7 linked regions of the Rattus norvegicus genome follow. The protein of the gene in region 1 purifies or fractionates together with the protein of each later gene. This does not show direct contact. Links are inferred from orthologs where the notes say so. Each region holds a gene or a part of one and is shown in the gene's direction. Other genes may lie near its edges.

Evidence for each region.
Region 2: the proteins of Bcl7c (region 1) and Smarcd2 purify together in Homo sapiens (affinity purification with mass spectrometry; 3 studies listed by BioGRID and IntAct, counting the BioPlex papers as one, with this or other methods). This does not show direct contact. The link is inferred for Rattus norvegicus from reciprocal best matches to the Homo sapiens genes BCL7C and SMARCD2.
Region 3: the proteins of Bcl7c (region 1) and Smarcd1 purify together in Homo sapiens (affinity purification with mass spectrometry; 5 studies listed by BioGRID and IntAct, counting the BioPlex papers as one, with this or other methods). This does not show direct contact. The link is inferred for Rattus norvegicus from reciprocal best matches to the Homo sapiens genes BCL7C and SMARCD1.
Region 4: the proteins of Bcl7c (region 1) and Arid1b purify together in Homo sapiens (affinity purification with mass spectrometry; 4 studies listed by BioGRID and IntAct, counting the BioPlex papers as one, with this or other methods). This does not show direct contact. The link is inferred for Rattus norvegicus from reciprocal best matches to the Homo sapiens genes BCL7C and ARID1B.
Region 5: the proteins of Bcl7c (region 1) and Smarcc2 purify together in Homo sapiens (affinity purification with mass spectrometry; 4 studies listed by BioGRID and IntAct, counting the BioPlex papers as one, with this or other methods). This does not show direct contact. The link is inferred for Rattus norvegicus from reciprocal best matches to the Homo sapiens genes BCL7C and SMARCC2.
Region 6: the proteins of Bcl7c (region 1) and Actl6a purify together in Homo sapiens (affinity purification with mass spectrometry; 3 studies listed by BioGRID and IntAct, counting the BioPlex papers as one, with this or other methods). This does not show direct contact. The link is inferred for Rattus norvegicus from reciprocal best matches to the Homo sapiens genes BCL7C and ACTL6A.
Region 7: the proteins of Bcl7c (region 1) and Smarce1 purify together in Homo sapiens (affinity purification with mass spectrometry; 5 studies listed by BioGRID and IntAct, counting the BioPlex papers as one, with this or other methods). This does not show direct contact. The link is inferred for Rattus norvegicus from reciprocal best matches to the Homo sapiens genes BCL7C and SMARCE1.

Annotation. Positions count from the first base shown.
Region 1 is NC_086019.1:191,751,842-191,756,048, reverse strand, and holds the start of Bcl7c (B-cell CLL/lymphoma 7 protein family member C), read left to right. Parts: upstream 1-1,407; 5' UTR 1,408-1,667; coding exon 1,668-1,759; intron 1,760-2,236; coding exon 2,237-2,315; intron 2,316-2,664; coding exon 2,665-2,773; intron 2,774-2,865; coding exon of another isoform or gene 2,866-2,868; coding exon 2,869-3,030; intron 3,031-4,207. UniProt on the Homo sapiens protein: May play an anti-apoptotic role.
Region 2 is NC_086028.1:91,699,609-91,703,743, reverse strand, and holds the start of Smarcd2 (SWI/SNF-related matrix-associated actin-dependent regulator of chromatin subfamily D member 2), read left to right. Parts: upstream 1-1,335; 5' UTR 1,336-1,420; coding exon 1,421-1,636; intron 1,637-4,135. UniProt on the Homo sapiens protein: Involved in transcriptional activation and repression of select genes by chromatin remodeling (alteration of DNA-nucleosome topology).
Region 3 is NC_086025.1:132,707,133-132,711,426, forward strand, and holds the start of Smarcd1 (SWI/SNF-related matrix-associated actin-dependent regulator of chromatin subfamily D member 1), read left to right. Parts: upstream 1-1,494; 5' UTR 1,495-1,499; coding exon 1,500-1,676; intron 1,677-1,726; exon of another isoform or gene 1,727-1,901; intron 1,902-2,313; coding exon 2,314-2,501; intron 2,502-2,792; coding exon 2,793-2,835; intron 2,836-2,933; coding exon 2,934-3,056; intron 3,057-3,491; coding exon 3,492-3,614; intron 3,615-4,294. UniProt on the Homo sapiens protein: Involved in transcriptional activation and repression of select genes by chromatin remodeling (alteration of DNA-nucleosome topology).
Region 4 is NC_086019.1:47,972,545-47,976,796, forward strand, and holds the start of Arid1b (AT-rich interactive domain-containing protein 1B), read left to right. Parts: upstream 1-1,452; 5' UTR 1,453-1,471; coding exon 1,472-3,241; intron 3,242-4,252. UniProt on the Homo sapiens protein: Involved in transcriptional activation and repression of select genes by chromatin remodeling (alteration of DNA-nucleosome topology).
Region 5 is NC_086025.1:1,487,003-1,490,502, forward strand, and holds part of Smarcc2 (SWI/SNF related, matrix associated, actin dependent regulator of chromatin, subfamily c, member 2), read left to right. Parts: intron 1-89; coding exon 90-209; intron 210-295; coding exon 296-358; intron 359-740; coding exon 741-999; intron 1,000-1,221; coding exon 1,222-1,383; intron 1,384-1,661; coding exon 1,662-1,726; intron 1,727-2,124; coding exon 2,125-2,260; intron 2,261-2,337; coding exon 2,338-2,504; intron 2,505-3,237; coding exon 3,238-3,372; intron 3,373-3,500. UniProt on the Homo sapiens protein: Involved in transcriptional activation and repression of select genes by chromatin remodeling (alteration of DNA-nucleosome topology).
Region 6 is NC_086020.1:117,419,231-117,423,530, forward strand, and holds the start of Actl6a (actin-like protein 6A), read left to right. Parts: upstream 1-1,500; 5' UTR 1,501-1,574; coding exon 1,575-1,599; exon of another isoform or gene 1,600-1,772; intron 1,773-1,930; exon of another isoform or gene 1,931-2,054; intron 2,055-4,231; coding exon 4,232-4,300.
Region 7 is NC_086028.1:84,662,674-84,666,173, reverse strand, and holds part of Smarce1 (SWI/SNF-related matrix-associated actin-dependent regulator of chromatin subfamily E member 1), read left to right. Parts: intron 1-423; coding exon 424-555; intron 556-820; coding exon 821-992; intron 993-3,500. UniProt on the Homo sapiens protein: Involved in transcriptional activation and repression of select genes by chromatin remodeling (alteration of DNA-nucleosome topology).

The DNA of each region.
Region 1 (4,207 bases):
GAAAAATTACAAGTAATAAATGTCCATCTTGACAGACTAAAGACAAGTGTGACAAGCTCCCGGAAAACACCATGAATGTACTTGTGTTCTGAACTTAGATGTAGAATTATCTAATGCATGTTGTCACATCTGGCTTCTTTTGTTGCAGACCCATCCCCACCATTGCACATAGCAGGACTTTGGTTTTTCTGGTTGTTTTGTCTGTGCTCATGGTATAAACAGGTTGTAACTGGTTTTCCATTCCATTCTGTTGAGTGGCTCCCAGGTTGGTGCTATTATGAAGAGTACCGAACTTCCCAGTATACATATCTTGGTGTTCATACAGACACATTTCGTCCTAGTGAGGTTTCTATTGCTGTGATAAACACCGCATCTATTTCAGCTTGCAGTTATAGTCTGTTATGAAGTCAGGGCAGGAACTTAAAGCAGGAACTGAAGGAGGCCAGAACTGAAGCAAAACCTTGGACGAACTTTGCTTACTCACTTGCTCCCCAAGGCTTGTTCAGTCTGCTTTCTTAAAGTGCCCGGAGGTGGCACTGCCTACAGTGGTCTGGCTCTCCCACAACAACTATTATCAAGAAAATGCCCGGGGTTGGGGATTTAGCTCAGTGGTAGAGCGCTTGCCTAGCGAGCGCAAGGCCCTGGGTTCAGTCCCCAGCTCCGAAAAAAAGAAAAAAAAGAAAAAAAAAAAAAAAAAAAAGAAAATGCCCCATAGACTTACCTGCAGGGCAACATGATGGAGGCGTTTTCTCCATCAAGGTTCCCTCATTCCAGATAACCCTAGCTTGTGACGAGTTGACAAAAAAGAGGCAGCACATATTCCTTCTGTTGAGTGTTGCTAGTTTGGGAGTGGAAACTGTTGGAAGACGGGGTTGGCATAAGTTTTTCAATGGAAGACTGCCAGTTTTCCAAACTATCTCTACCAATTACACACCCTGATTCAAGGAATGGCAAGTTGCTCCTCTGCTACTTCATCTACATGGTCTTTTTCACTCCCGCCATTCTGATTGAGGAGGCCGGCTCTCCACTCGCAGAGTCTGGCTTGTACTAGGCGCTGTTAATGGAACTGTTCAATGAATGAATGAATGAATGAATGAATGTATGAATGAATGAATGAATGAATGAATGAATGAATGAATGAATGAACAAGTTAAGTTGGGCAGCTTAGAATCAAACAGCCTGGAGAGGGCAGACGCGCGCACACAGAGCATTTCAGGGACGCCCACCCGCCGCGGACGCACACCAGGACAGTCCCTCTCGCGCACCCCTGTGCCCACGTGGCCGGAACGCACCGCCTCGTTCGGGCCGCGCGCGTCCAGCCGCACCGCTGCCCCCCAGCTCTCCCTCTCCGCGGCGGGCAGAGGGCGCTGTGCGTCCGTGCGCCCCGAGGGGCGGGCCCGGGCCGGGGCGGAGCTGGCCGGGCTTCCAGGCCGGGGCTCTAGCCGCCCGCGCCGCCCGGGCCGCTCCGGGGACGGGCCGGGGCGGGGCGCGGTCTCAGGAAGCCAGGCGGGGACGCGCGGAGGCGTTGGGGAGCGAGGGAGGGCGCGGCCAACTCCCGGAGGGACGGCAGGCCGAAAGAGCGGCGCCGGGGCCTGGCGCGCAGCCTGAGATCGCCGGACCGCAGGCCGCCCCACCACGGGCTCTGTCCCGGCCCTAGCCCCGCCAGCATGGCCGGCCGGACCGTGCGGGCCGAGACCCGGAGCCGGGCCAAAGATGACATCAAAAAGGTGATGGCGACCATCGAGAAGGTCCGGAGATGGTGAGCGCTGCCCCCGGGTCAGGGATACAGCCAAGCCACCTCCTCCAAACGCGTCCGCCCTTTCCTGGCCCGCTGCCCCCGCCCACCAGCTGTGATCTAAATCGACAGGGCGCCCCCTTTCCTTGGCAATTCCCAGAGGTCTACAAAGCGTGGTCCGGAGTGGTGCTTTCCCTGAGCGGGAGCCCTCATCTATGCCCCGCCCCCTGAAGCTTTTGACACTCTCGCAAGCTTGGCCCGGGGTCTTCATTGCCTGAGTGCCTGGGCAGGCCTTGGTGGCGCCCTGCTGAGTGCCCCAGGTGTCTGCAAAACCGCAGCTCCAAGTTATATCCGTTTATGCTTTGCCCTGGGGTTTAGAGGGCTCTTTCTGCTTCTATGCCGTGTAAACGAAGCTGTCCGTACCCTAGCACACCTCCCTGACCTCCAGTCTGTGGGGCTCACCCTTGGGCCTCCCTGACCCAGTCTCCTGACCTCCCACAGGGAGAAGCGCTGGGTGACTGTGGGTGACACTTCCCTTCGAATCTTCAAGTGGGTGCCTGTGGTGGATCCCCAGGAGGAGGTGAGCAAGCCCAACCCCCAACATGCCTTGCATCTGTGCAACCTCAAGCAATTTCCCTCCCCTTGGCCTCCACCTTCAGTCGGCTTGGAGACTCCACTGTGGAGCCCAGGCAGATGGTAACGATTATTAGGGGGCATGAGCACGGAAGCGCGCGCGCGCGCGCGCGCGCACACACAAACACACACACACACACACACACACTTTCTCCAAGTTCAAGACCTAACTCGGCCTACACAACCTGAGGCAGCACCTTTTGCTTCTCTGAGCCTAGGTTTCCTTATTTGAATTGAAGGACTTTGTAAGAGCTCCCTGGACAAACTAGCTCTGATCTTACTTCTCTAACCCTCAGGAGAGGCGGCGGGCAGGAGGAGGGGCAGAGAGATCTCGTGGCCGGGAGAGGCGTGGTAGGGGCACCAGTCCCAGAGGGGGTGGCCCCCTCATCCTGCTGGATCTCAATGGTATGTAGAGATTCTGGAATAGGGGTGGGGGGGCTGGGTGCTGAAAGAAGCCACTGGGGTCCTCTGGCCAACTAACTTGACTTTTGCTTCAGCAGATGAGAACAGCAATCAGAGTTTCCATTCCGAAGGTTCACTGCAAAAGGGCACGGAGCCCAGCCCTGGGGGGACGCCCCAGCCCAGTCGCCCTGGATCACCAACTGGACCTCCAGAGGTGATTACAGAAGATACTCAGCCCCCACAACTGGGCCAAGAGAGAGGTAGGACCATGTGGCTCTTGGGAGTCCTCTCCTCACCAGAGTTGAACCTACCGCCTTGTATGTGTTTCTATATTGTGTTGTGTCCCCCCCCCCCTCCCCCGTCCTGCCTCCCTCAGGGAACCTTTCCTGACCCTGGCAGAAATTACCTCTGGCTGTGCCTGGCTCATTCCTTGGCATCTTGGATTTGTAGGGAGCGTGTCGCCATCTGAAAACTTTATGTAAATGTACTTTTTGCTTGCTTATTGCCTCTCTGTTACCATCTCATGTCAGACACACTGATCTGGTTCATGTGGGACGCATAATAGATGTTCGGCAACTAAATAATTCTGATAACCCTAGGGATTAGTAACCGTAGATTAACAGCTGACAGAACCACTTATCTGTTAGTCATTCTTCTGAGCACTTCAATGTTTTGTGGTTTGTTTTCTCATTTAACCCTCACTGACATTTTATGGAACCAATGATCCTATGATGATTCCTATTTATACACGAGGAGCCCAACATCCAGAGAAAGATGCCCAGACTTGCAGAGCCAGTGCGCCAGCTCCTCGGCCTTCCTGTAGTCCACCCCCCCTTCCCAGGCATGGCTGACTCCCGTGCCTTTGGCGCTCCCTTCTCACTTCTCACTTGCACTGGCTCTCGCCTCCACATGCTACAGCTTTCTTAGAGCAGATTCCAATCGGCCATTTTCCTGCTTTGTGTCCTTCGTTGGCTCCCGTGGCCTTTGATTCCTTCGTTTGAACCAGAGGCCTTTATAAACTGTTGCTACTGAAATTGTTCCCCTGTCAAGAACACCATGACATGGGGCTTGGGACCACACCTAGGTTGTCCCAAATACTTTCGCTAATATGAAATGATGGGGCAGGGCATGCAGCCCAGTGCAGGTGCTTGTCTGTCATGCCTAAGGTCCTAAGCCCCATCTCTAGTACCACAGAAATGAATGAATGAATGAAACTGCTAGCTGGCACTTCTTGAGCACATACTATGTGCCGTGTACTTGATCCACACAGCAGCCTCTCATGGTGTTACTGTCACTATTTCCATTCTGCGGATGACTGAGAGTCTGTGGTCACTAAGCACATATTTCTATCTGCCTAAATTCTACTCTACCTCCGTTTGCCTCCTGGCTCATTCCCTACTGACAAGATCCAACTTGAGTCTTCCTTCCTCAGCAACT
Region 2 (4,135 bases), on another chromosome or scaffold:
GTAGAATCGGCTGGAGGTGTAGCTGAGAACGACCCTGAACTTCTGGCCCACCTGCCTCCTCCTGTGTGCTGGGATTTTTGGCGTGTACCACCAGACAGTTTATGCAGTCTGGGGTTCAAGCCCGGGGTTTTGTGTATGCTAGGCAAGCACTCTATAACCTGAGCTACATCCCCCAACCCGATTCTGAGGATTTTCAGTGCCTAGTGAAGTTAAGTAGCACTGATTGTATACCGTGAGTGAGGAGGTACCACATTAGCAGAGGGGTAGGTCTATAACATAGCTGAAGCCAGGAGTTTCTGAAAAGGTTCTCAACTTTTCAAAAACTAGGTCCTATACAAACTGGATAAAACTTATTTCACTACCTGGAGTTCTCTCAGCATGCGAAATCCCTTCACCTAAAAACATTTTCTGCGGAGTAAATTACCAGGCTTCCTTAAAGGCACAGAAAAGTTAGTGCGGTAAGTACTCTGAGCTGGACCAAGTCAAGCTTTAACCCAGCTAGGTCATATCTGGGGTCGCCCATGTCCTTGGAAGCGCTCAGCAATCAATATGGGTGGGTGGGTGTGGGGTCCTGGAAGGTGAACGCCTTGTACTACTGGCCTGGCTCCTCAGGCCCTGAGATAGGCTCTTAAAAAGTTTTTGGCGGCCATTCCGCCGCGGATCGCTTATTTTTTTTTTTTTTTTTTTTGGTTCTTTTTTTCGGAGCTGGGGACCGAACCCAGGGCCTTGCGCTTCCTAGGTAAGCGCTCTACCACTGAGCTAAATCCCCAGCCCCGGATCGCTTATTTTTAAGGCCTGGAGACGCGGAATTGACTGTTTTGGAGGGCTATGTCGGACATTTCGCTGAGACAGTAGTCCTCCGGAGTAAGCGGCAAACACCTAACCATGGTGACGGCCCTACGTGACCTTCGAACTCTGACCCCGCGCCTCTCTCAGCGCTTCCGCGTGCAGCTTCCGCTCCCGCTCCTCCGGGAAAAGGCGGTCCCAGAGGGCGGGGCTCTGAGGCCGTCAGTTATGGGCGGTGCTTGTTTGAGGCGGGTCTCGCGAGGGCGGGATTTAAAGACGCACTCTCGATTGGGCTGCCGGGCAGGGGCGGGGCCTGCCGAGGCCTGGGTTGGGCGGGGCTGGGAGTTCGTAACCGCCTCTGGGTAACTGGACTCCCGCGATCAAACCTCCGGAGGCCGGGAGAGGCCTGCGGGCTTGCAGCACATCCTGGATCTGGAGTATCCCTGGCAGGAGCGGAGTCAGAGGGGCTGCGGATCCTAAAGCTGGGCTGGGAAGAACTTGCGAACTTGGAATAGAAGATCCCGGAACCCGGTAATAAAATCGGAAAGTCCCGGATCGCGGAACAGAGCTCGCGGAGCGGACTCAACACGGAGACGAGAGGCCGGATCGCTGCACCGCGGGACGGGACAGAGTGATGTCGGGCCGTGGCGCGGGCGGGTTCCCGCTGCCCCCGCTGAGCCCCGGCGGCGGCGCCGTTGCCGCGGCCCTCGGTGCGCCGCCTCCGCCTGCGGGACCCGGAATGCTGCCCAACCCGGCGCTCAGGGGCCCGGGGCCTTCTGGAGGCATGGGGGTACCGGGGGCCGCTGCCTTCCGCCCCATGGGCCCCGCGGGCCCCGCGGCGCAGTACCAGGTGAGGAAGGCAGGCGGGCGGCGCCTCGAGGGCGCTGGGTTGGTCTCCCAGGGGCCTCAGGTGAGGACGGGCCGCCCAGGGGACACTGCAGGAGGAACTGTCGAGGGCTGGTGGCAGGCAGGCCAGAGTCCTTTGGTTAGTGGCTAGGGGTTGGAGGCAATGTTGGGGAAAGGGTGAAAGCCCTTTGCGGTGGAGGACTTAAGCAGTTAGAAGAGTCCCGGGAGTTCTTGGCATTGAGTAACTTAGAGATGGAGGCTTCGTGGGATTTAGAGAATTGTGGGCAATCAGGTTGAAAAGTGTAAGGCAGGTCCCGGAGTAGAGGTGAGGGAGTGACCCGGGATGTGGTGAGGAAATTTTGGAAGAGGGTCGTTAGTGAGAAAACAGGGCTACTCTTTCTTTGGAGTCGGTCCCACTGCATCTCTGCCTTGGCTGTTTTGTTTTTTGTTTTTTTTCCTAGTTGGGAACTGGCAGAGAGTTAGTATATCTGTGATGGCTCCCAGCTGCTCAAGTTGAAGCCTGGCTTCCTACGAAATGGGAGACCAAAGGGAGGGAGCCCAGATACTCCCAGGATAGATTAGAGATAGCGATGGCCAGGTCTGAAGAAAGCCCGATCGCATTAACAGACCCATCTAGATATCCTCTGTACTGGGCATTCTTCCTGATGTCAGTGTCCAGTAGTTAAGTTTGGAGGAGCAGGGAGGCTTTGTGGAGTCCTGCTGGTCTTGGGTTGCATAGGGTACTTCAAGACCCTTCTGTCTGGGAAGAGAGCAGTCTCAGGTTGCTGCGTCAAAGGTCGTTGACAAGCAGAGACAAGATCCTGTGGTCAGTGCACTGGGAACTCACCCAGCGGGACTCTGTATGTGGGGCTCCTCCTCATACCCCAGGGCTCTGGTTCAAGTTGCTCCGGGATATTTGGGAGTTTCATTTTGCTTTTCCTTTCGGTGCTGAGCCTGCACCGGGTGGAACCCCGGGCAGGCTTTGCACGAGGCAGATCATTGCTATCAGTGAACTGCACCTTTCCCAGAGTGCCTGGGACTGTGTCCATCCTTTCCCACATCCTTGTCACTTTTGGTCCTTGCTTTTTGATACAGGGTCCCATATAGTCTAGGCTGTGTAGCCAAAGCTGGCCTTGAACTCTTTCTGCCTCTCAAGTGCTGGGACTGCAGTCACGAAGGTCCGAAGGTGTAGCTTACTCTGTCCTCTGCTGGTGTCTCAGGTAGACGTCTCAGAAATAGATCTTCATGGAGCATGCATATTATACCCAGGAGTCAGATTCCTGAGGAGATACCTAACTGAGGGTTGGGATAAGTGACCCACTTCGCTTCTCTTTCTATCTCAAAAGAAAATGACGAGTTTGGGTATGAACAGGGATAGACTTGGTCCCAAGGATACTCTCTGGGGTTTATCTTTCCCATGTTGCTTTCTTTGGAGATTAATGGACCTTGTGTCTCACCGATGAGTACTGACATCAGTTATTCCAGCCCTTGGTCTTGCTTGCTTAGAACTGATCTGGTAGCTTCCTACAGACACTGGGGATATCTGGTTTGGTTAGTTTTCTGAGCCCTGGCTGTCCTGCAACTAATTATGTAGACCAGTCCCCTTGGCATGCAGCTGACAGAGAAGTACCCTTGGGAAAGTTCCTGTGAAGACGGGAAGATGGATTCCTGCATGCTTTGTAGAGAGTGACCTTGGGCCTATGCTGAGGCCAGGCTGGCCAGCTGGATAGCTGTGGCTACTAGTTGTGAGAAAGGAGATGGCCTTGAGTCTGGCATCTTGTTACCTCTTCCTCCTCCTCTTTGTCTTCCTCCCCTCCTCCTCTTCCTCCTCTGAAGGACAGGGAAAGGAGGAAGGAGAACCCCATTAACATGGGTTGAGTTTGAAGGAGACCCTGCTTGCTTTTTCCCATCCCTTCCAGGTGTCCATCTTCCAGAAAGGCTTGGGGTCTGAGGACAAAGGGGCTCCTCCTGGTTAGAGCTCTTGGGGGTGAGCAGGAAGGGCAAGGATGTGTGTGCTCAGGCTGGGCATGGGAAGGCTGCTGACATAAATTGATAGCTCATTTACCTCTAGAGGGTTTTTCTAGTTTTGGAGAACAATCAGCCTGAAGGGTTTAAAGTACCACGATCAAAACCAAAACAGAAAGCCTAGTGTGCATTATTGCCGGCTTCACTCAGCTCAGAGTTTAAAGTACCCTCTGTTCATAGGGCCAGGGTCTGGCCTCCAAATGAGGCTCTGAGGTTCAAGCAGCTCTTAGCAGGATCCCGGCTACAGACTTTTCTGGAGAGCAGAACATGCTTACTTGAGCCCTAGATTCTTAGCCCAGAGCTGGCAGGATGAGGTCTAGCCTACTTCCCTTATCTTCTTGGTGGTTATAAAATTTAGCCTAGAGGGTGGGCTTGGTGCTTGACCAAGTGGAAGTTACTGCATTCCGGAGTCCTGGGGACTTAAGCAGGCCTCGTACTCTGTGGTGGGGCAGGCTGGCCGAGAGGCTGAGACTCTGTT
Region 3 (4,294 bases), on another chromosome or scaffold:
CCACTGTCTCTTGGTCTCTAATTCCAAAACAGGACTTATGGGCAGATCACCTGTGTGGGTTGGCCTGGAGCCAGAGAGTGAGGCTATAGAATCTTTGAAACCTTTTGGTTCCCAAGAGTTGTTTAGAGAACAGAACTCCCCCAGAAGGAAGCAGGGCAAAGCAGGGAAATGGACACTGACTGGGGGGCAGCAGAAGGGGCTCTGGGTGACGCATGCCTCTGGTCTAATAAACTGGGTTTCAACCATCTCTTCAGTGTTGGTTTTCTGTTTGTTGTTTGTTTTGTGTTGAGACAGGGTTTCTCTGTGTAGCCTCGGCTGTCCTGGAACAGCTCTGTAAACCAGGCTGGCCTCGAACTCACAGAGATCCTCCTACCTCCCAAACGCTAGGATTAAAGGTATGAGCTGCCAGCACCCTGCACTCTGGGTGTTAACCTTTAGATCGGAGCTTGCCTTGAGGGCCACACAACTAAAGAAATTTGGGTGGTAGTCTGGTGTGGTGGTTCCACCTCTAATTCCAGCGCATAGGAGATGGAGCAGCTGTTTTCCATCACACAGTGAGTTTAACGCTAGACCAGGCTATTCGAGACCCTACATACTTGATCAGGTAAAAACACTGATCCACCTGGAAAAGAACAAATTCAGGAATCCTCTGTTCCCTAGGCAGTGGACCAGCAAAGTAATCTAAAGCAACAGATATCCGGGTCTCTTTGGAGAAGATTCAAGGTAAAAGAATTCATTAAAATCTGAAGTTAAAGGTCTGAGGTGAAGGGCTAAGTTCCCGTGCCGGGGAGCTGTTAAGCCATTATTTATTTATTTATTTATTTATTTATTTATTTTTTTTTTTTTTTTTTGGAGCTGGGGACCGAACCCAGGGCCTTGCGCTTCCTAGGCAAGCGCTCTACCACTGAGCTAAATCCCCAACCCCTTAAGCCATTATTTATAAGATGAGGCCCTGGCTACCAGCCAGGAGACCCGAATCCAGGATGGCTTTTCTCTTATCTCGATTTGTCTTTGCCACGACATTCACCTCCTTTGAGTTCAGCTTTTCCGTTTGTAAAACGAACAAACAGCCTGTTTCCCTCTTTAGCATCCGGAGTCTGATCCGTAGGAAAACAAAAAGCAAACCAACCAGAATGCTTTGGAGAGGTAAACGCACTGGGCCGAGGTGAAGCATCACTCCAGCCGCCTGCGGGGTGGGCTGGGCTCTTTGCAAGGCCTTGACGTCCTCCAACCGCCCGGGGGCGCTCGCTCCCGGCACTTCTTTATCAGCACACCGCCTCTCTATGGTGCTCCCTCCTGGCCCGTGAAGGCGGGAGGGAGTGGTCAGCACGCCTTTCCCGCTAGTCGCCCCCTCTAGCCCGTAGTCTCGCTGCCCCGAGCCGCCCGTGCCCGCCGGCGGGCCGGGCCCACAAACAGCCCAGGCGCTCGGGGGGCGCGCGGGGGGCGGGGGGAGTTCCGGTTCCGGTTCTTTGTGCAGCTGCAGCGGCGGCTCCGGGAAGATGGCGGCCCGGGCGGGTTTCCAGTCCGTGGCTCCGAGCGGCGGCGCGGGAGCCTCAGGAGGAGCGGGCGTGGCGGCTGCTCTGGGCCCGGGCGGAACTCCCGGGCCTCCCGTGCGAATGGGCCCGGCGCCGGGTCAAGGGCTGTACCGCTCTCCGATGCCCGGGGCGGCCTATCCGGTGAGTGGGACAGGAGGAGGGGCGCGCGGGCCGGGGGCGGGGCCGAGCGAGGGCGGAGGACTGACAGGGGTGAGGGAGAAGTGGGAGGGACTCCCTAGGGAGGGGCTCGGGCCGGGAGTGGAGGTGGGGGAAACTGAGCGGAGGAAGAGTGGGGGGAAGGAGGTTAGCATCCTTACCTGCTCCCAGCGGCATTGTTTCCGTGTGAGGAGCGAGTGTGGAACCAGGGTGGGTGAAGTGGGCCCTGGGATGGGCATGGGATGCAGAGGGGAATGGGCAGCCCCAGTGTCTCCAGGAACACCCAAGCTATTGCAGCAAATTGAGGTCAGCCTTAGAGGAGACAGCAGCTAGTTTAAAAAAAGAAAAAAGTAGGACTAGAAATGTCTGATGAGTCAGATCCAGCATAGATCAGAAAATTCAAGTATAATCTAGTTTTTAGACTATATTCCATTAAATCACTAGTAGGCCTGAAGAAGCTCCAGTTACCATATTTCAAAGAAGCAAAGGATTGTCTTGTCCTCCACTCTACCCACCCCCCAGCCCTACCCCATCCCTGAAATCCAGCCTTCCACCACTTTTCCTTCCTTGGTGGGGCTAGCATGGAAAAATATGACATCTCTTGGTCCTCTCCCTTCTGTAGAGACCAGGTATGCTGCCAGGCAGCCGAATGACACCTCAGGGACCTTCCATGGGACCTCCTGGCTATGGGGGGAACCCTTCAGTCCGACCTGGCCTGGCCCAGTCAGGGATGGACCAATCCCGCAAGAGACCTGCACCTCAACAGATCCAGCAGGTCCAGCAGCAGGCGGTCCAAAATCGAAATCACAAGTAAGATGCCCCCTGGGGTGAAGGAAAGACGGGGATGGGAGGAGGCCTGTGAGGATGCTGATGCTGGGAGTCCCCAGGAAGTCAGGCGCTGCAGTATCAAATGGTGCTGCAGGGACTCACCCTTTTGAAGGCTCTCTGGCCTCGTGATGAAGTGGAGTTTTTGTGGTACTGGGAGATGGAGAGTCATCCCGTAGGCCGTAGTAGCTGTACCATAAATGGAGGTGCTCACAGCGATGCTCATGTTTTGACTAGTTCCTATCCCAACCTGATAACAGTATTTATTCTGAACAGTGCAAAGAAAAAGAAGATGGCTGACAAAATCCTACCTCAGAGGGTGAGTGCAGCAGCTGTAGAGGCCTTCCTGAAGGGGTAGTGGCTTTGAGAATAGAGGTGGTCAGCTCTAGGGCCTGACCCTATCTTTCTGTTCCTAAGATTCGGGAATTGGTACCGGAATCACAGGCCTACATGGATCTCCTGGCTTTTGAAAGGAAACTGGACCAGACTATTATGAGGAAACGCCTGGATATCCAGGAGGCCTTGAAGCGGCCCATCAAGGTACCAGGAGAGTACCAGAGGGTCACAGGAGGGAGCCAGGACGCTCCACCAAGCTTAGGAAGAAAACCCAAAGGCACAGCACATCTCTCTTTGGCATTTAAACTGCATCTTTCCCTTCTGCCTGCAAACCAGGAATTACATCAGGAGCATAGGAGTGGGGCGGCTGGCAAGGAGAGGGGGGGCTTCCCACTCTCTTCAGCAGAAACACACCCTGTCCTTGTTTTTGCTCCTCGCTACCTTGGGAACCTGCCACTTTGCACGACTTTGTCTCCCTGGCACCCTGGCACATTTACTCAGGCCCAAGTCAGGGCCTGTTTGCTCCTCAGTGGAGTCCTTATCCATCTACAAAGCCAGCCTGGTAGGAGTGACCTGGGAGCTTTAGGGAACCTTGTGCTCTTGAAGCCCCACGGTCAATCCTGTTTCTGCCTTCCTCAGCAAAAACGGAAGCTGCGGATTTTCATTTCTAACACATTCAATCCGGCTAAGTCGGATGCCGAGGACGGGGAAGGGACTGTGGCTTCCTGGGAGCTCCGGGTAGAAGGACGGCTCCTGGAGGATGTGAGTTCAGGGTCCATGGTGGTTGGTGCTCAGGGTGGGAGCTGTTGGGAAGGAGCAGTGCTGTGTGGTCAGCAGGAAACCTGACTGGTGTTCACCACTCCTGCTGGGAGCTTCCGGAAGGGGGTTGGGGGTGCTGTGTTCCCTGCCTACAAAGACAATGGTCCTTTGTGCCTACTCTCACAGCTTCTCTGGTATCAAGTGGAAACCTTTGTTGCTCTGGGGTCTGGGTTGTTGTTTACTTTGCCTGGTGATGCTGCCCTTCGGATTTCAGTGCTCACTTATCCCCACCACCATCTGTGCTTAGTGTTTGAGCCCATGTTTCCTCCCTTAGGTCCTTGAGGTTATTTCTGTCTTCCCAGGTTTCATTGGAGGCACCACAGTTTAAGTACGATAGCCCCCCCAAAGGCTTGGCTCTTTGTTGCTCATCAGACTAATGAGCACCCCAGACTCTCCACCCAGCAGCTCATTGGGGAGGCTCGCCGTTCCCTCAGAGCTCTGCACTCTGACACTTTTAAACTGTGTGCAAGTGAGCTCGTCTGATGCACTTTTGCTGGGGAACCGAGCTGCCTCTGGGTAGGTCCAGGCTATTTGCTGGTCATGTGTTCTGTCCAGAGAAAGGCAGGTTTTGTTCCCCTGCCTCTGGCCTGGGATTCATTTGCCCTCTGCTGTCAGGCTTTCCT
Region 4 (4,252 bases), about 140 Mb from region 1:
CCTAGCACAACGGAGCCGTTGCTTAGGTTAAGAAGTTTGGCAGTCAAGAGGTTGGTTACTCCATGATAATATCGTGTAAAACACTATCCTGCTAAAACTATGGGCACCTTTTTTAAAATGGGCAACTACTGCATATTTCTGCTTTGGGATTAGGCTGTTTGCATTATTATTGATTTTATGTTTATTAAATACATCTATTTGGTTTTGTTTCCCATTACTTAGAAATGAACTCATATCAAGAGGGTTAATTGCACACATTAACCTCTGAAATATGATGAAAGGCGTCGTGTAGATTTATGAAGACCCAAGATAAACCTTAGCCGTCGCTGTTTTTGCACTAATAGTTAAACGTCTCCTGAATGCTGTCTGGAGCTAACACTGGAGAGGACACCCAAACGCATTATAAGAAAAATACTCCGTGGGGAATGCTAGGAGTTTTCATACCTACTTACGGTGCCTTTAAAAAGAGTTATATAAACATCACCTTGGGGATTAGGGTGGTGAATCATAAGCAATTATTGAGCGCCTGCTGTGTACATGGCACAGCAGTCTTTGCGGCTTAACCTTCACTTAAGTCTTTCCTAATTTCTCAGTTGGATGAAGTTGTGGGAATTACGCCGATGGCCTGAAATCCAGGCGCAGAGGCCAAGGTTGTGAAAAATTACATAACTCCTGAGAGAGACTGAGTGCTTTTGCCCGGCCTGCCTAAATGTTTCCCTTCTCCATCGGCTCCTCACCACCTCTGAGGCCCAATAGACAACTTTGCTTCCCAGCCCCTTCTCTCTCTTTTGTCTGCTCGTCAGACTCGTTTTCCACCTTCGTAGCGCTCCCTTTAGACGTGAAAACAAACACAGGGCCGCGGGTTGGCAGGGAGACCGGAGGCACGAGGGGACTGAACAGCTTCAGGCCCCGAGCGCCGGCAGCCGGTCCCCCCCTTCCGCTCCCCCAGGCCGGGTCCCCCGCGCCAGGCCGGGCGAGGCAGTGCGGAGCGAGCGGGGCGAGCTGGCGGGCGAGCGTGCGCTCGGCGGCGGCGCCGGGGGCCGAGTCCAGTCCGCGTTTTGCAAGTGCGCAGCAGCCCTCGGAGAGAAGCGGATAATAGTTGCTCCGGCTCGCTCGGCTCCCTCACGCCGCGCTGGGCCCGATTAGGCTCAGGCAAGTCGTGCATTTCCCCCCCATATCCGGGCTAGAGAGGGGAAAAAAAGAGCGAGCGAGAGAGAGAGAGTGTGTGAGAGAGGGAGAGAGAAAAGTTTCATTGCAAGCGGAACTAAAAAACTTTCCGCCGGTCCAGGCGGTAGCGGGCGCGAGCCCCCGAGCGCAAAGGCGCGCCCCCGGCGGGCGGCCCGGGGCTGCGGGGGGGGAGGGCGCCGCGCTTCCCCGCGGGCCGCGTGGATGCGCGCAGGAGGGGCGGCCGGCTGCGAGTGGGGACATTGTCTCCCCCCACCCCACCCGGCCGCGCCACGCCGCGGCGATCATGGCCGCGCGGTCAGCAGCGGCGGCGCGGGCACGGGCGGGCAGCTGCGAGAGGCGGGCGCCCTCGGGGCCGCGGCCGGCGCCCGGGGCCCGGGACCTGGAGACGGGCGCGCGCGGCGCGGTGGCGGCGGCGGCTCCGGGCCCCATACTGGGGGGCGGCGACGGCGGCCTGAATAATGTGCACCACCACCCCCTGCACCCCCGTCACGACCTGAACATGGCCCATAGCGCGAGCGCCGCGGCGGCCGCCAGCTCCAACAGCGCGCAGAGCGGCGGCTCCGAGGCGGCTCTCAAGGAGGGTGGAAGCGCCGCCGCGCTGTCCTCCTCCGCCGCCGTCGCGGCCTCTTCCTCCTCGGCGGGCCCCGGCTCGGCCATGGAGACCGGGCTGCTCCCCAACCACAAACTGAAAGCCGTTGGCGAGGCCCCCGCTGCACCGCCCCATCAGCAGCACCACCACCACCATGCCCACCACCACCATCACCACCATGCCCACCACCTCCACCACCACCACCACGCACTACAGCAGCAGCTAAACCAGTTCCAGCAGCCGCCGCAGCCACAGCAGCAGCCGCCGCCGCCGCCGCCGCAGCAGCAGCAGCATCCCACTGCCAACAACAGCCTGGGCGGTGCGGGCGGCGGCGCGCCTCAGCCCGGCCCGGACATGGAGCAGCCGCAACATGGAGGCGCCAAGGACAGTGCCGCGGGCAGTCAGGCTGACCCGCAGGGCCAGCCTCTGCTGAGCAAGCCGGGCGACGAGGACGACGCGCCGCCCAAGATGGGGGAGCCGGCGGGCAGCCGCTATGAGCACCCAGGCCTGGGCGCGCAGCAACAGCCCGCGCCGGTCGCCGTGCCCGGGGGCGGCGGCGGCGGCCCGGCGGCCGTCTCGGAGTTTAATAATTACTATGGCAGCGCTGCCTCTGCTAGCGGCGGCCCCGGCGGCCGCGCTGGGCCTTGCTTTGATCAACATGGCGGACAACAAAGCCCCGGGATGGGGATGATGCACTCCGCCTCTGCCGCCGCCGGGGCCCCCAGCAGCATGGACCCCCTGCAGAACTCCCACGAAGGGTACCCCAACAGCCAGTACAACCATTATCCGGGCTACAGCCGGCCCGGCGCGGGCGGCGGCGGCGGCGGAGGAGGAGGAGGAGGAGGCAGCGGAGGAGGTGGAGGAGGAGGAGGAGCAGGAGGAGCAGGAGGAGCAGCGGCAGCGGCAGCGGCAGCAGGAGCCGGAGCTGTGGCGGCGGCGGCCGCGGCGGCGGCAGCAGCAGCAGCAGGAGGAGGCGGTGGCGGCGGCTATGGGGGCTCGTCCTCGGGGTACGGGGTGCTGAGCTCCCCGCGGCAGCAGGGCGGCGGCATGATGATGGGCCCCGGGGGCGGCGGGGCCGCGAGCCTCAGCAAGGCGGCCGCCGGTGCGGCGGCGGCGGCGGGGGGCTTCCAGCGCTTCGCCGGCCAGAACCAGCACCCGTCGGGGGCCACGCCGACCCTCAACCAGCTGCTCACCTCGCCCAGCCCCATGATGCGGAGCTACGGCGGTAGCTACCCCGACTACAGCAGCTCCAGCGCGCCGCCGCCGCCGTCGCAGCCCCAGTCCCAGGCGGCGGCGGCGGCGGGGGCGGCGGCGGGTGGCCAGCAGGCGGCCGCGGGCATGGGCTTGGGCAAGGACCTAGGCGCCCAGTACGCCGCTGCCAGCCCGGCCTGGGCGGCCGCGCAACAAAGGAATCACCCGGCGATGAGCCCCGGCACCCCTGGACCGACCATGGGCAGATCCCAGGTAACCCCCGCGCCCGGCCGGGCCTGCTTCCGCCCGGGCCTCGCGCCGCGAGCCCGACTTTCTTTCTTCGCCGGGTACTTTTCCCGGCGGTTGGCGGGGGTGGCGGGGGCGCGGCGCCGCCGGGCCGGTGCCGGAGCTGGCGGGGCCGGGTAGCCGGGCTGCCCCGCGCCCTCTCGGCGTGCTGCGTGCCCGCGCCAGGCCCGGGACGGGACCTCGGTGCCCCAGGCCGCGCCCGCCCGGGGAGGGCTCTCGGGGTAGCGGGCCCCAGGGCCGGGCCTGGCTCCGCCGGCGCCCACGGTGTGCCCCGAGTGGGCGCGGGGAGAGAGGAACTTTCTCCGGGCCCCGGTCGGTTTCCCATTCCCCTTGCGAGGCAGGGGCGGGGGGGAAAACGAGGTTAGCTTTGTGACAGCCGTGGCTGGTGGAGTTTGGATGTTTACCAGCAGGAATAAGACCCAGATTTACAACGAGGAGGCGGCGAAAAATTGTAAAATAACATCGATTCGTTTCCTAAGAATAGCCAGGGAGAGATCCATTATGGGGCTAAGGGCTCCTTGGAAGGAGTCACCTTCAACCGGGAGGCGATGTTGAAGGAATAGATTCCGGATCGATGGAACTTATTTTGATCATGGGTTAGACTTTTCCTTCCTTCCTTCCTTCCTTCCTTCCTTCCTTCCTTTCTTTCTTTCTTTCTTTCTTTCTTTCTTTCTTTCTTTTTTTTTTTTTTATTCAGCAAACCTCGTAACTAGGTAGTAGGCCAGTGAAAATGGATCGTTCTGGATCGTATTTGTGTGGATTTTCTTGATTTTGCTGTTGCCCAAGTCCTACAGCGTTGTTAGGAAGTGCCTTTTGCTCTGGCTGTTTCTTGCTAGTAGGCTGAGCCTAAAGACTGACTTGATCTCTCCTTTGCAAGGTTTGGAATTTGAATTGTGGAGGTAAACTGGCTGTAATAGTCTCCAGACAGCTGCCTCTGAGTTGACATCTAATCTGCCATCTGATTGGCTCCCCTCTCAC
Region 5 (3,500 bases), on another chromosome or scaffold:
TCTCTCTCTCTCTCTCTCTCTCTCTCTCTCCTGACTCTGGCTCCCTGTGACCACTTGCATTCACCTCCTTTTTTTCCTTCCACAAATAGCAGGGCTCTGCTTCCCAGCAGATGCTGAACTTCCCTGATAAGGGCAAGGAGAAGCCAGCAGACATGCAGAACTTTGGGCTGCGCACAGACATGTACACCAAGAAGAACATCCCCTCCAAGGTACAGGGTGCAGCCAACCTGGGGTTGATAGCTTTCTCTCACACAGCTTAGACTCCTCTGTGCTGACTTACTCTGCTTCCCCACAGAGCAAAGCTGCAGCTAGTGCCACTCGGGAATGGACAGAGCAGGAGACATTGCTGCTCTTGGAGGTAATTGGGGAAAGCAAGGGGAATGCTGTAAGGACGCAGGGGCTGGGACCCAGCTGCCATGGCAGTGGGGAGCACTTAGTTGGGAGCACTCATAGTTTGGCACTGAGTGGAACATGAGCTTGCCTCAGTCTCCCCTTCTTGGTGCCTGTCATAGCTGCCCCAGGAATAGCTCCAGGTCAGGGATTTAGGCCTGTCTGTAATTCCATATCCTTTCTTTGTGCTACTTGGAGACCCCCCACCCCCACCCCCTGGATCCAGCAGAGTACAGAAATACCAGAACATAAAGAGCTTTGAAAACAACTGCCCTTAGTCGGATGGAGGGAGTTGACCTTCTAGAAAAGTGGCTAAGTAAGCGGAGTTCTGTCTCCACCACTACCACCAGGCTCTGGAAATGTACAAGGACGACTGGAACAAAGTGTCTGAGCATGTGGGAAGCCGCACGCAGGATGAGTGCATCTTGCATTTCCTTCGCCTTCCCATTGAAGACCCATACCTGGAGGACTCAGAGGCCTCTCTAGGCCCTCTGGCCTACCAGCCCATCCCCTTCAGTCAGTCAGGCAACCCTGTTATGAGCACTGTTGCCTTCCTGGCCTCTGTCGTCGATCCCCGAGTTGCCTCTGCTGCTGCAAAGTCAGCCCTAGGTAATTTGGGGATGGGGGGTTGGCCTTCTTCCTTTGCTTTTACAGCTAGATACTCCGATTAAAACCTCTCAGCTCTACCCTGCTGGCTTCGTCTGAGGCTGCCTTAGCTCAGGCACCTTCTGAGCTTGATTTTGGTCTCAGAGAAAGAGATGGGCTTATGAGAAAGGTCAGTCAGAACAGCCTACCTGCCTCATCCCAGCCTCTTCCCCTCTGGTCTCACAGAAGAGTTCTCAAAAATGAAGGAAGAGGTGCCCACAGCCTTGGTGGAAGCCCATGTGCGCAAGGTAGAAGAAGCAGCCAAAGTCACAGGCAAGGCAGACCCAGCTTTCGGTCTGGAGAGTAGCGGCATTGCAGGGACGGCCTCTGACGAGCCTGAGCGCATTGGTGAGCACGCACTCTTAGATTTCTTCCCATCTCCAAGAGCAGAGTCAGCCGGCCTCGCTGCTCGCTGTACCCTCCCCACCCTGTTCCTGCCCACGTCTACATCAGTCACCGCACAAGTGGGAGAGAAAGCCCGTGGCGTTTTGTTTTCCTTCATGGTATCACTGTGGGAAAGTTGACTTTTCCTGTCTCTGTCACCGAGGTTTCAGCTACTGGGAAATTGTTACATAAACGAAAATTATCACACATCTCTCCTTTCTTTCCTTCCTCCATGGGCCCAGAGGAAAGCGGGACTGAGGAGGCACGGGCGGAGAGCCAGGCAGCGGATGAGAAGAAGGAGCCAAAGGTATAGAGGGAGTGACCTGGGGCTGAAGAGGCAATCCCAGTGGGGCTGGATCCAGTGACAGATTGTCCTGGAGCTAGGGCACCCTGTGTAAGGGCTGAAGAGATGGGTCACAGCACTGGATAAGTGTTGTTCTACAGCCTGAAAATTGACCCAGAACCCCTAGGACCCACACAGAAGCTTTGGCATCATTTTATGTGCTGCGACCTCATCGTTGTGGGACCCAGTTGTTGGAGGCTGACCTGTCTCAAGGCAATAAAATACCCAACATTTTGTTCTGCTCTGGCTTTGGCATGTGCACACACAGAGACAGATAAGGACAAGAGGGCCAGTCAGCCTCCAGTCTGGGCCTCCTGTGAGAGCTGCATCCTCTGATGTCTTCTTTCCTTTTGGAACTGCAGGAACCTCGGGAAGGAGGAGGTGCTGTAGAGGAAGAAGCAAAGGAGGAAATAAGTGAAGCTCCCAAGAAAGATGAAGAGAAAGGGAAAGAAGCGGACAGTGAGAAGGAGTCAGAGAAGAGTGACGGGGACCCAATAGGTGAGCGGCCTCCCCAGAGGGCGAGGGGCACAGGAGAGACAAGGGAAAAGGGTAATTTCACCTTTGTCCTGACACAGTCGATCCAGAGAAAGACAAGGAGCCGACGGAAGGGCAGGAGGAAGGGCTGAAGGAAGTTGCAGAGCCAGAGGGGGAGAGGAAAGCCAAGGTGGAGCGCGACATTGGTGAAGGCAACCTGTCCACAGCTGCGGCCGCTGCCCTGGCTGCTGCTGCAGTCAAGGCCAAGGTGAGCGCAGCCCTCGGAAGCTGCACACTTTCCTCATCCTGTGCCAGCCATTCTCTTCTCACTCCTTAAATAGTGCTGGCCTGTTCGTTCCTTTCTTATTTTTTTTTAAAGATTTATTCATTTATTATATATGAGTACAGTGTAGCTGTCTTCAGACACACCAGAAGAGGGCATCAGATCCCATTACAGATGGTTGTGAGCCACCATGTGGTTGCTGGGAACTGAACTCAGGACCTCTGGAAGAGCAGTCAGTGCCCTTAACCACTGAGCCATCTTTCCAGCCCGTTCCTTTCTTATTTAATCCAGTGAGCTATCACCAAACTTCTTAACTCTCTTAGTAGCTATTTCCAACCCTTTAATTTCTTTTACTTGTCTTATCTCTTTTTTCATGATAAAGATACAATATATATATATATATACATATATGTGTGTATGTATGTGTTGTTTCATAATACAGATATATCTAGATCGTGAATATATTATATACTTATATATTATAATATATACTATATAATGTATAATATTTATTACTGTGTATTATAATATATAGTACATGTATAAATTACAGTTATACTATTCTTAGTTGTGATTGCAGCTACTTCCTTTTTGAACCTGCCAGCCTCTGCAGCATCTGCCCTGCCCCTTCCTTCCCCACCTTCCCGGAGTTTCTGCAGCTGGGCGCTCTGGCTAATGCCCGCCCGACTGACTGAGACGACCGCTACTTCTTACATAGCACTTGGCAGCTGTCGAGGAGAGGAAGATCAAGTCTTTGGTGGCTCTGTTGGTGGAGACCCAGATGAAGAAACTAGAGATCAAACTCCGACATTTTGAGGAACTGGAGACGATAATGGACCGGGAGCGAGAAGCGGTGAGTGACACGCAGTCAGGTGTCAACAGGAGCCTAGAACCTGCCAGAAGATGAGCTCAGAAGTGCTGAGTCAGACACAGGTGGCACAGCCGGGAGAAAGGCAGGCAGCCCAGAGGTTGAGATCCATA
Region 6 (4,300 bases), on another chromosome or scaffold:
TACAGCTCAACCAGGCACATAGCTTCAGTCACAGTGGCAAATAAGCCTGGCTATGCTCCAATAAAGCAGCTTAATGTTTCTGACACGGGAGTATCATAGCATTCTTAAAAACATCTTTGAATCATTCAAAATGTACTAATACCCAAGGTGGCACGTGCCTATAACTCCAGTACTCAGGAGGCAGAGGCAGGAGGATTACAGCTTGGAGACTAGCCTGGCCTATACCATGAGACCTTGTCTCAAAAAACCCAAACCTGAACCATCATTGTGAGCTCAAAGCACAGTGTCAAGTGAACAGGAAAGCGGTTTCTTACTTGCATTATTCCTGACCCTATGACAGGTCAATTTCTGCCACCTGGATGGCATGGAAATGGATGAAATTTTATTCAACCCTTCTAAGGTTGCTAGTAACGCTTGCACTAGACACTTCAATTTAAGCACTGCTACCAGTTACAGAGAGAGCTACATTATACTTGAGTTTTGGACCTTTTGTTATGTAGATCAAGCTAACTAAAGCCCAGAGAAGCAGAGGGACAAATTGTTGCACTTATTGTTTTGGGGACAGTGTTCTGGACACTGATAGAAACATAGTCTAAGAACAGTAGACACAGATTGGGGATATATTTACAAACGGGTGTTTCTCTGAATGGTGCTCCACTTGCTTGGTGAATGATTTTCACAGAAATGAAAGAAACCAAAGTAATGATTTTTAAATGCTATCTGAATCTAGCTGGGAAAACATATGATCTCTTATTATAATAGCCATTTTAAAAAATGATGAATCCGATTATTATATCTGATTTGCCGATTACTTCAAAGTGTAGTACACATTTCTTTTTCAAGTATAAATGTTAGTTGAAGTTTTTTCTGCTTAAAAAAAAAATCCAAATCCATCACAATCCCAGACCAGGAATCTCTTCGAGGTAACTAACTCAAATTCCAGATTCCTTGCAGATACTCTCCTTTCTCTGCCTAAGTTCCCATGGCTCCTGGGGAGCGGCCACACTTCAGAAGCAAGAGCGGTTGATGGCCCAAGGCAAGCCCCTTCCCAGTACCTAATTAACTCACTTTAGAAACCCGGTCCACTCCCGCACAAAGCTCCTCCCACTCGCCCGCCCACCTAAAAACTCCTCCCACTCCATTTGCGCGCGAAGCACAGTTCGCACCCTCTTGCGAAGCAGCCCCTCCCACAATCCCGTCTGCGTGTAGAAGCCCCACCCACTTCTCACCCGCCCGCGAAGCTCCGCCCCCTCCTGCCCGTTCCCCAACACCTTCCCTTCTTCCGTCGCTTCTCCCCATGGCTGCCTTCCATTGGTCAAGACGGCTAAACCGCGCAGGGATACAGCAGCACCACATTCTGATTGGCTAAAGACTAAGCCGGGCCTCTTGTCATTGGCTGACAAGAGAAACCAGCAAGAGTGGCTGTGCAGCGGGCGTGCGGCCGCTGCTTTGTTGCCGGAGGGGGCGGCGTTGGAAGTTGCAGGCTTACGGGGTCGGCATTCTTGGGGAGTCGAGTCGCGCCGCTGTTATCTTTCGCCCAGTAGTCTTCGGCCAGTCCCCGCCCAACAGTAGCTATGAGCGGCGGCGTGTACGGCGGAGGTGAGTGAGCGCAGAGGCGCCTCGGGGCGTGCGGGCCGGAACGACCGGCCCGGTCCCTGGTCTCTTCCGTTTCCCTCCGGTCCTCGGCGGGCCCTTCCGGTCTTTGGCCGGTGCTTCCGGTCCCCGTTTGGGCCATGGCCTCTCCTTCTCTTCGGACCCAGGGCCCGCGCTCAGTAGGTTTCCGGCTTGTACTGTTGCTGGTTCCGAGATGGCCTCAAGGAAGGGCCTTGGCGTGTCTTACACCTGGAGCTCCAGGACGGGCTGGACTCTGTTGGCAGTCACCTGGCACTCCGGGTCCCTCGCTGTACCGGTTCCGCCGCGGGTTAGTCTCGGGAAGCTCGCGGAGGTTCCGGGCCCTCCGGGTGGGCACTGGTTCTGAGTCGCGCCCGGTGTTGCGGCTTCCGACTGGACATCGTTCCAGGTGTGCCTGGTCCCTAGATGAGCGGAGCGTTGAGGTACAGGCTGCTGTTCCCCTGGCCAACTGGCCAGGAGTCTTTTTATAAATTGGCGATAACGAAATCAAGGCTTTCAAGCACTGGTTTTGTTTTATTTTAAAAGTAGTTAACTAGTTAGAGACTCCTCGCTAGGGTGGATGCCGACAGGAGATGGTGCTGCTATCCTGCACGTTAACGAAGAAGAAAGCATTGGGAAGAGTTAAACAACCAGCTCAAAGTTAAAAGACTTTCTTTGCAAATTGGGAGCAAATAGCTTCTGGATTGAGGCAAAGGCATTCCTTTCTCGGCCGTGTACCTGTAACATGCACCCCTAATGAGTTAAATAGTATACTCACACTATAAATTTATAAATGTATCGAGTCAGTAGATCTGTGCCCACACATTTTAACTGCTGTGTACTGTTTTGTAAGAACGAACTGTAGCAGTTTCTCTAACTGTAGTCATTTCCCTAGCAAGAAGTGTGACAAGAGTAACTACTACTATTAGCTAATATTTATCGGGCTTATTGCTTACCAGCACTATTTTAAGTATACATTAAAACATTGAAGACATTTAGTCATAGTATCCAATGAGATAAGTATTAAATACTCTTTACTGACCAAACTGGGGCAAAGAGGTTAGTAAATTACACATTTCACATAGTGTATTTGTCCCTTGTCTGTTGCCGTGATTAAAAAACAAAACAAAAATGACCAAGGCAACTTCTAGAAGGAAGAGTTTACTTTAGCTTATGATTCCAGAGGGATAAGAGTCCAGTATGAGGGAGGCATGGCATCTAGCAGCAGGCATGGTGGCAGGAGCAGGAGTCTAGGCTCACATATCCAACCTCAAGCATGAAGCTGAGAGCAAACTGAAAATGGTGGGGGCTTTAAACTCAAAGCCTGTCCCCAGTGACAGCTTCCTACATCAGGCCCTCATCTTCTAAATATCCACAGATTGCACTAAACTGGGGCCCAGATGTTTAGATATCAGAGTCTAGGAGACATTTTCATTCAAACAGTTGCACATGCATCTCCTTTTAAAATATGAATTTCTCTTAAACTGGGTATGTCTAAACTAAATAGCTCTGTGTTTCTCTTTGGGTGCCTCTTTGTAGCTAGCACTAAACTGCATAGAGTGGCTGTGGTGATTTGTAGCTTTAACTGGAGAATAGAACTTTTCTTAAGGTTGAGTAATGTAGGTAAGTAGGATTAGTGTTTTAAATTTTTTGGGAGGGGACCCATTGACAAACTAGCACTTTATCCTAGGAGGCCTGCTGTTTGGGGTGAAGTACTTGGAAAATATAAATGGAGGCTTTTCTCTGAATTAGACTGAAAAAAATTGCCAGCTTTTTTTCTCATCACTAAACTATCCCCTAATGTCTGGAATGTGTGAGTTAAATAGTACCTTCATTAAATGCTTTTTACTTGGCCTGTATAAATTACATTCTAAGCTCTGATGTCCCAGTTTGGATGCTGGCTTATAGTTTCCTGAAGGCTGGAGGCTGTGAGCTTGGTCCTTCCTCCCTGATAGGCAGTTCTAGCTCTCTGCCTCATTTCAGCTGTTACCACAGCTCCCAACAGCCATCCCCACAAAAATCCTAGGTTCTGTTAGCAGTTTCTTGTTTTCTCAGTTCAAGGATTATGAGGACATGTCCCTTTGTTCATCCTTCTGTACCTGGATGATAGATGTTTATAACTAGTCCCTTTAGTAAGGAACTACTACCTGCTGTCAGTGTACCATATCTTTCCTGACTAAACCTCCGCTGATGAACAGTGTATGACTCACCATATTTTAATTAAATAAATCTTGAAGGTATATTTAATACTAGGTTCAAGCCAGACATTGTGGTGCATACTTTTAATCCCACTTAAGAGTCAGAGACAGGAACTTTGCGACAAGTAAGATCACATAGAGGTTGATTATATCAAAACAACAATCGTAAAAACTAGATTCTAGCTAATTATGTGTTATGTAATGGAGTTTTACAAAGTTTTAAATATTCTCATTTTATATACATAAAATATGTTCTTTACTTTGTTGAGACAAGAGTTTCTCTGTGTAGTTCCAGAATTAGCTCTGTAGACCAGTCTGGCCTGGAACTCATAGATCTGTCTGCCTCTGCCTCCCTTACTGGGATTAAAGACATCTGTAGTTCTCTTTTAATCACTTCTGTAATTCTCTTTTAATCTCTTCAGATGAAGTTGGCGCTCTTGTTTTTGACATTGGATCATATACAGTGAGGGCTGGCTATGCTGGTGAGGACT
Region 7 (3,500 bases), on another chromosome or scaffold:
CTTAGGTTCAATTCCAAGAATACAAAATAATTAATAAGTATAGTAAAAATATTGATCATAATTATTACATATGTGTTTGATAGTATGGTACAAATTAACTACGTCTAAATTCACTTAACAGCTAGAGACATAGAGTTAATTGTTCAGTTAATTCAATATAAGTGTGAACAGTGGTTAATGGTGTTCTTAGCTTAATCAGTTTGAAGTACTGATGAGGAAATGACAGTGGTGATGAGATCCAGTGAGGTAAAGATAAAATGACATCATAAGTTGGCAGTTTTGAAGCAGACTGATGGCTACAGATGAGTTTGATATTGTCGTCTTTGCTTTTGTTTGTATTTAAACGTTCCCATATTAGAGTATTTTTAAATGACTATATACTTTAGTCACTAATACTGAATTTTCAACTATTAACTTTTTAAGGTCTGGGACCAAGTAAAGGCTTCCAACCCTGACCTAAAGTTGTGGGAGATTGGCAAGATTATTGGTGGCATGTGGCGAGATCTCACTGATGAAGAGAAACAAGAATATTTAAACGAGTACGAAGCAGAAAAGGTAGGAGGACCACCTTCACTCATTATTTATAGAAGAAGCAAAGCATGACCAGACACCTGAGGCAGCACTAAAGTTTTGTCCACCAAGCCCCACTCACCTGAGTGGCACATTCTCTGTTCAGAAGGAGAGATGACTGTCACAGAGGGCCCCCCCCCCCCCCCCCCCGTCTGTTCACCTTTGCCCTCTGATTCAGATGAACAATGCAGCTGCCCACGGTGACCTGGAGAGTGGAATGTACATTAAAAACCAACCCTTTGAATTTCAGATAGAGTACAATGAATCTATGAAGGCCTATCACAATTCCCCTGCATACCTTGCATATATTAATGCAAAAAGTCGTGCGGAAGCTGCATTAGAGGAAGAAAGTCGACAGAGACAGTCGCGCATGGAGAAAGGAGAGCCTTACATGAGCATTCAGCCTGCGGAGGACCCAGACGGTAAGGTGGAAAGTGGGGCGTTGCGTGTGCTCTCTCTGAATTAGGGAAGAAATCTTAGTTCAAGGCTTTTATTTTTTTAAATGGGAAAGCATAATTTTGTCTTTTCAATAATAAGATTTTTGTGTATGACTTTCCCATGGTAAAAAATACTCCTTACAGAGTGGAAAGTTGTTAAGGGAAAAAAAGCTGTACTTTTACTTTTCAAAGTCTTTATACTTAGAATAAAGGATTTGTTTGATTTTTTTCAAGACAGGGTCTCACTGTGTTGTCCAGATTTACCTGATTCTCCAATCTCAGCTTCCAAATTCTGGGTTAAGTTTTTGCTGACACTCCTTGCCTTAGTCAGGGTTTCTATTCATACACAAACATCATGACCAAAAAGCAAGTTGGGGAGGAAAGGGTTTATTCAGCTTACACTTCCACATTGCTGTTCATCACCAAAGGAAGTCAGGGCTGGAACTCACAGAGGGCAGGAACTTGGAAGCAGGAGCTGATGCAGAGGCCATGGAGGAGTGCTGCTTACTGGCTTGCTCTGTAGATTGACCTCGAAGGCAGACATCTGCAGGGCTCTGTCTCCTGTAATGCTGGATGGGATTAAAGGCCTGTGCCAGCATGCCTGGATCTAAGCTTTTCTTCACCTAGAACCTGCTTTGTCCCAGGCTAGCCTTGAACTCAGAGATCTGTTTGGCTTTGTCTTCTGAGATTAAAGGTGTAAACCACCATGCCTGGATCTAAACTTAGCTGGATGGGATGATACCAAATCCTTAATCTGTTACCTCCTAAGACGGGATTCAGCTCCATGTCACTTCCCGGTGCCCCTTTAATACTTGAACCATGTATTTTATATTTTTCCTCTCTAAGCTCGCTACACTTGTTCAAAACCCTCTTCATGAGACGTAACCTGAGAACAAAGTCTCTATTGGGCTTTTTTGAGACTTCCTTTGTCATGTAATTAATTTCTCTTTACCTTAGACTCCGGCAGACTTCAGACAAGGGCAAAAGGCAGCCAAGCCGCATTCTTCACCAAAATACCACAAAAATAGTCTCTAGGCCTCATATTGAAATTCTTTTCCACTGAACCCTCTTGGGCCAGGTCTGTAAGTTCAAATCCAACTCAGCACCAGTGTCTTCCATATTCCTACTAGGTGCCTCATTAAGCCCCACTTAAAGCGTTCCAGTGCTTTCCAGATCCAAAGTCCCAAAGTCCACATTCATCTAAATAAAAATCATGATCAGGCCTGTCACAGCAGCACCCCACTCCCAGTACCAATGTCTGTCTTAGTTAGGGTTTACTGCTGTGAACAGACACCATGACCGAGGCAATTCTTAGAAAGACAGCATTCAATTGGAGCTGGCCTACAGGTTCAGAGATTCAGTCCATTATTATCAAGGAGAGAATATGTCAGCTTCCAGGCAGGCATAGTACAGGAGAAGCTGAGATGAGAGTTCTACATCTTCTGAAGGCTGCTAGCAGAATACTGCGTCCATGCAGATAGGATGTGGGTCTTAAAACCCATATCCAGTGACACACCTACCCCAACAAGGCCACACCTTCTAATAGTGCCACTCCCTGGGGCAAGCTTATACAAATTGTAACACACTCTAACCTGATAAAATATATGATTTTCGGGGGGTTGGGGATTTAGCTCAGTGGTAGAGCGCTTGCCTAGGAAGCACAAGACCCTGGGTTCAGTCCCCAGCTCCGAAAAAAAGAACCAAAAAAAAAATATATGATTTCCCTTTGTGTGTGTTTGGTTTTTTGGGTTTTTTTTCCCCTTTCCTTTTAACTTCCTTTTTTGTTTGTTGGTATTTTTTTTTAGACATGGTATCCACATAGCACTAGCTGTCCTAGAACTTGCTATGCATTTCAAGTTGGCCTTAAAACTCACAAAGATCTTCCTTCTTCTGCCTCAAGCATGGGGATTAAAGGTGTGTGCCACCACACCCAGGTTCTTTTCTAAAAAGTTAAATGCCTTACAGTTACACCCAGTCTTCTTTTTTTTAAATGTGTGTAGCAAGCCTGTAGTTTTGTACACGTGAGTGTAGTGCCTGCAGATGCCAGGAGTGGGTGCCATTCTCTGCAGCTGGACTTACAGGGAGTTGGGAACTGCCTGACGCGGGTGCTGGGAACTGAACTGTGGTCCTCCAGAAGAGCTGTTCATGCTCCTAATCGGCTTATCCAATTTATCAATTACCTAAATTTGTTCTTAGGAGCAAATTAAACTAAGCGCTCTTAGAGCAAAATTTAATGAGTGTATTATAAAAGCCTTATTATTTTAAAATCCAGTATGAGTATGAGAATGCCACCCATAACATCACTCATGAGTACACATTACACACAGACAGCCAGGCTTCTGAGTTAGCGTTCTATGTACAGATGGACAGATTACTCTTCTGGCCCTTAGTGGCCAAGTAAAGGCATTTAACTTTAACTGAAGCTGCAAGGGGTCCAAGATAGCCACTTCCATTAAAGAGGGTGCTCATCCACACACCCAGCATGCTGGGTAA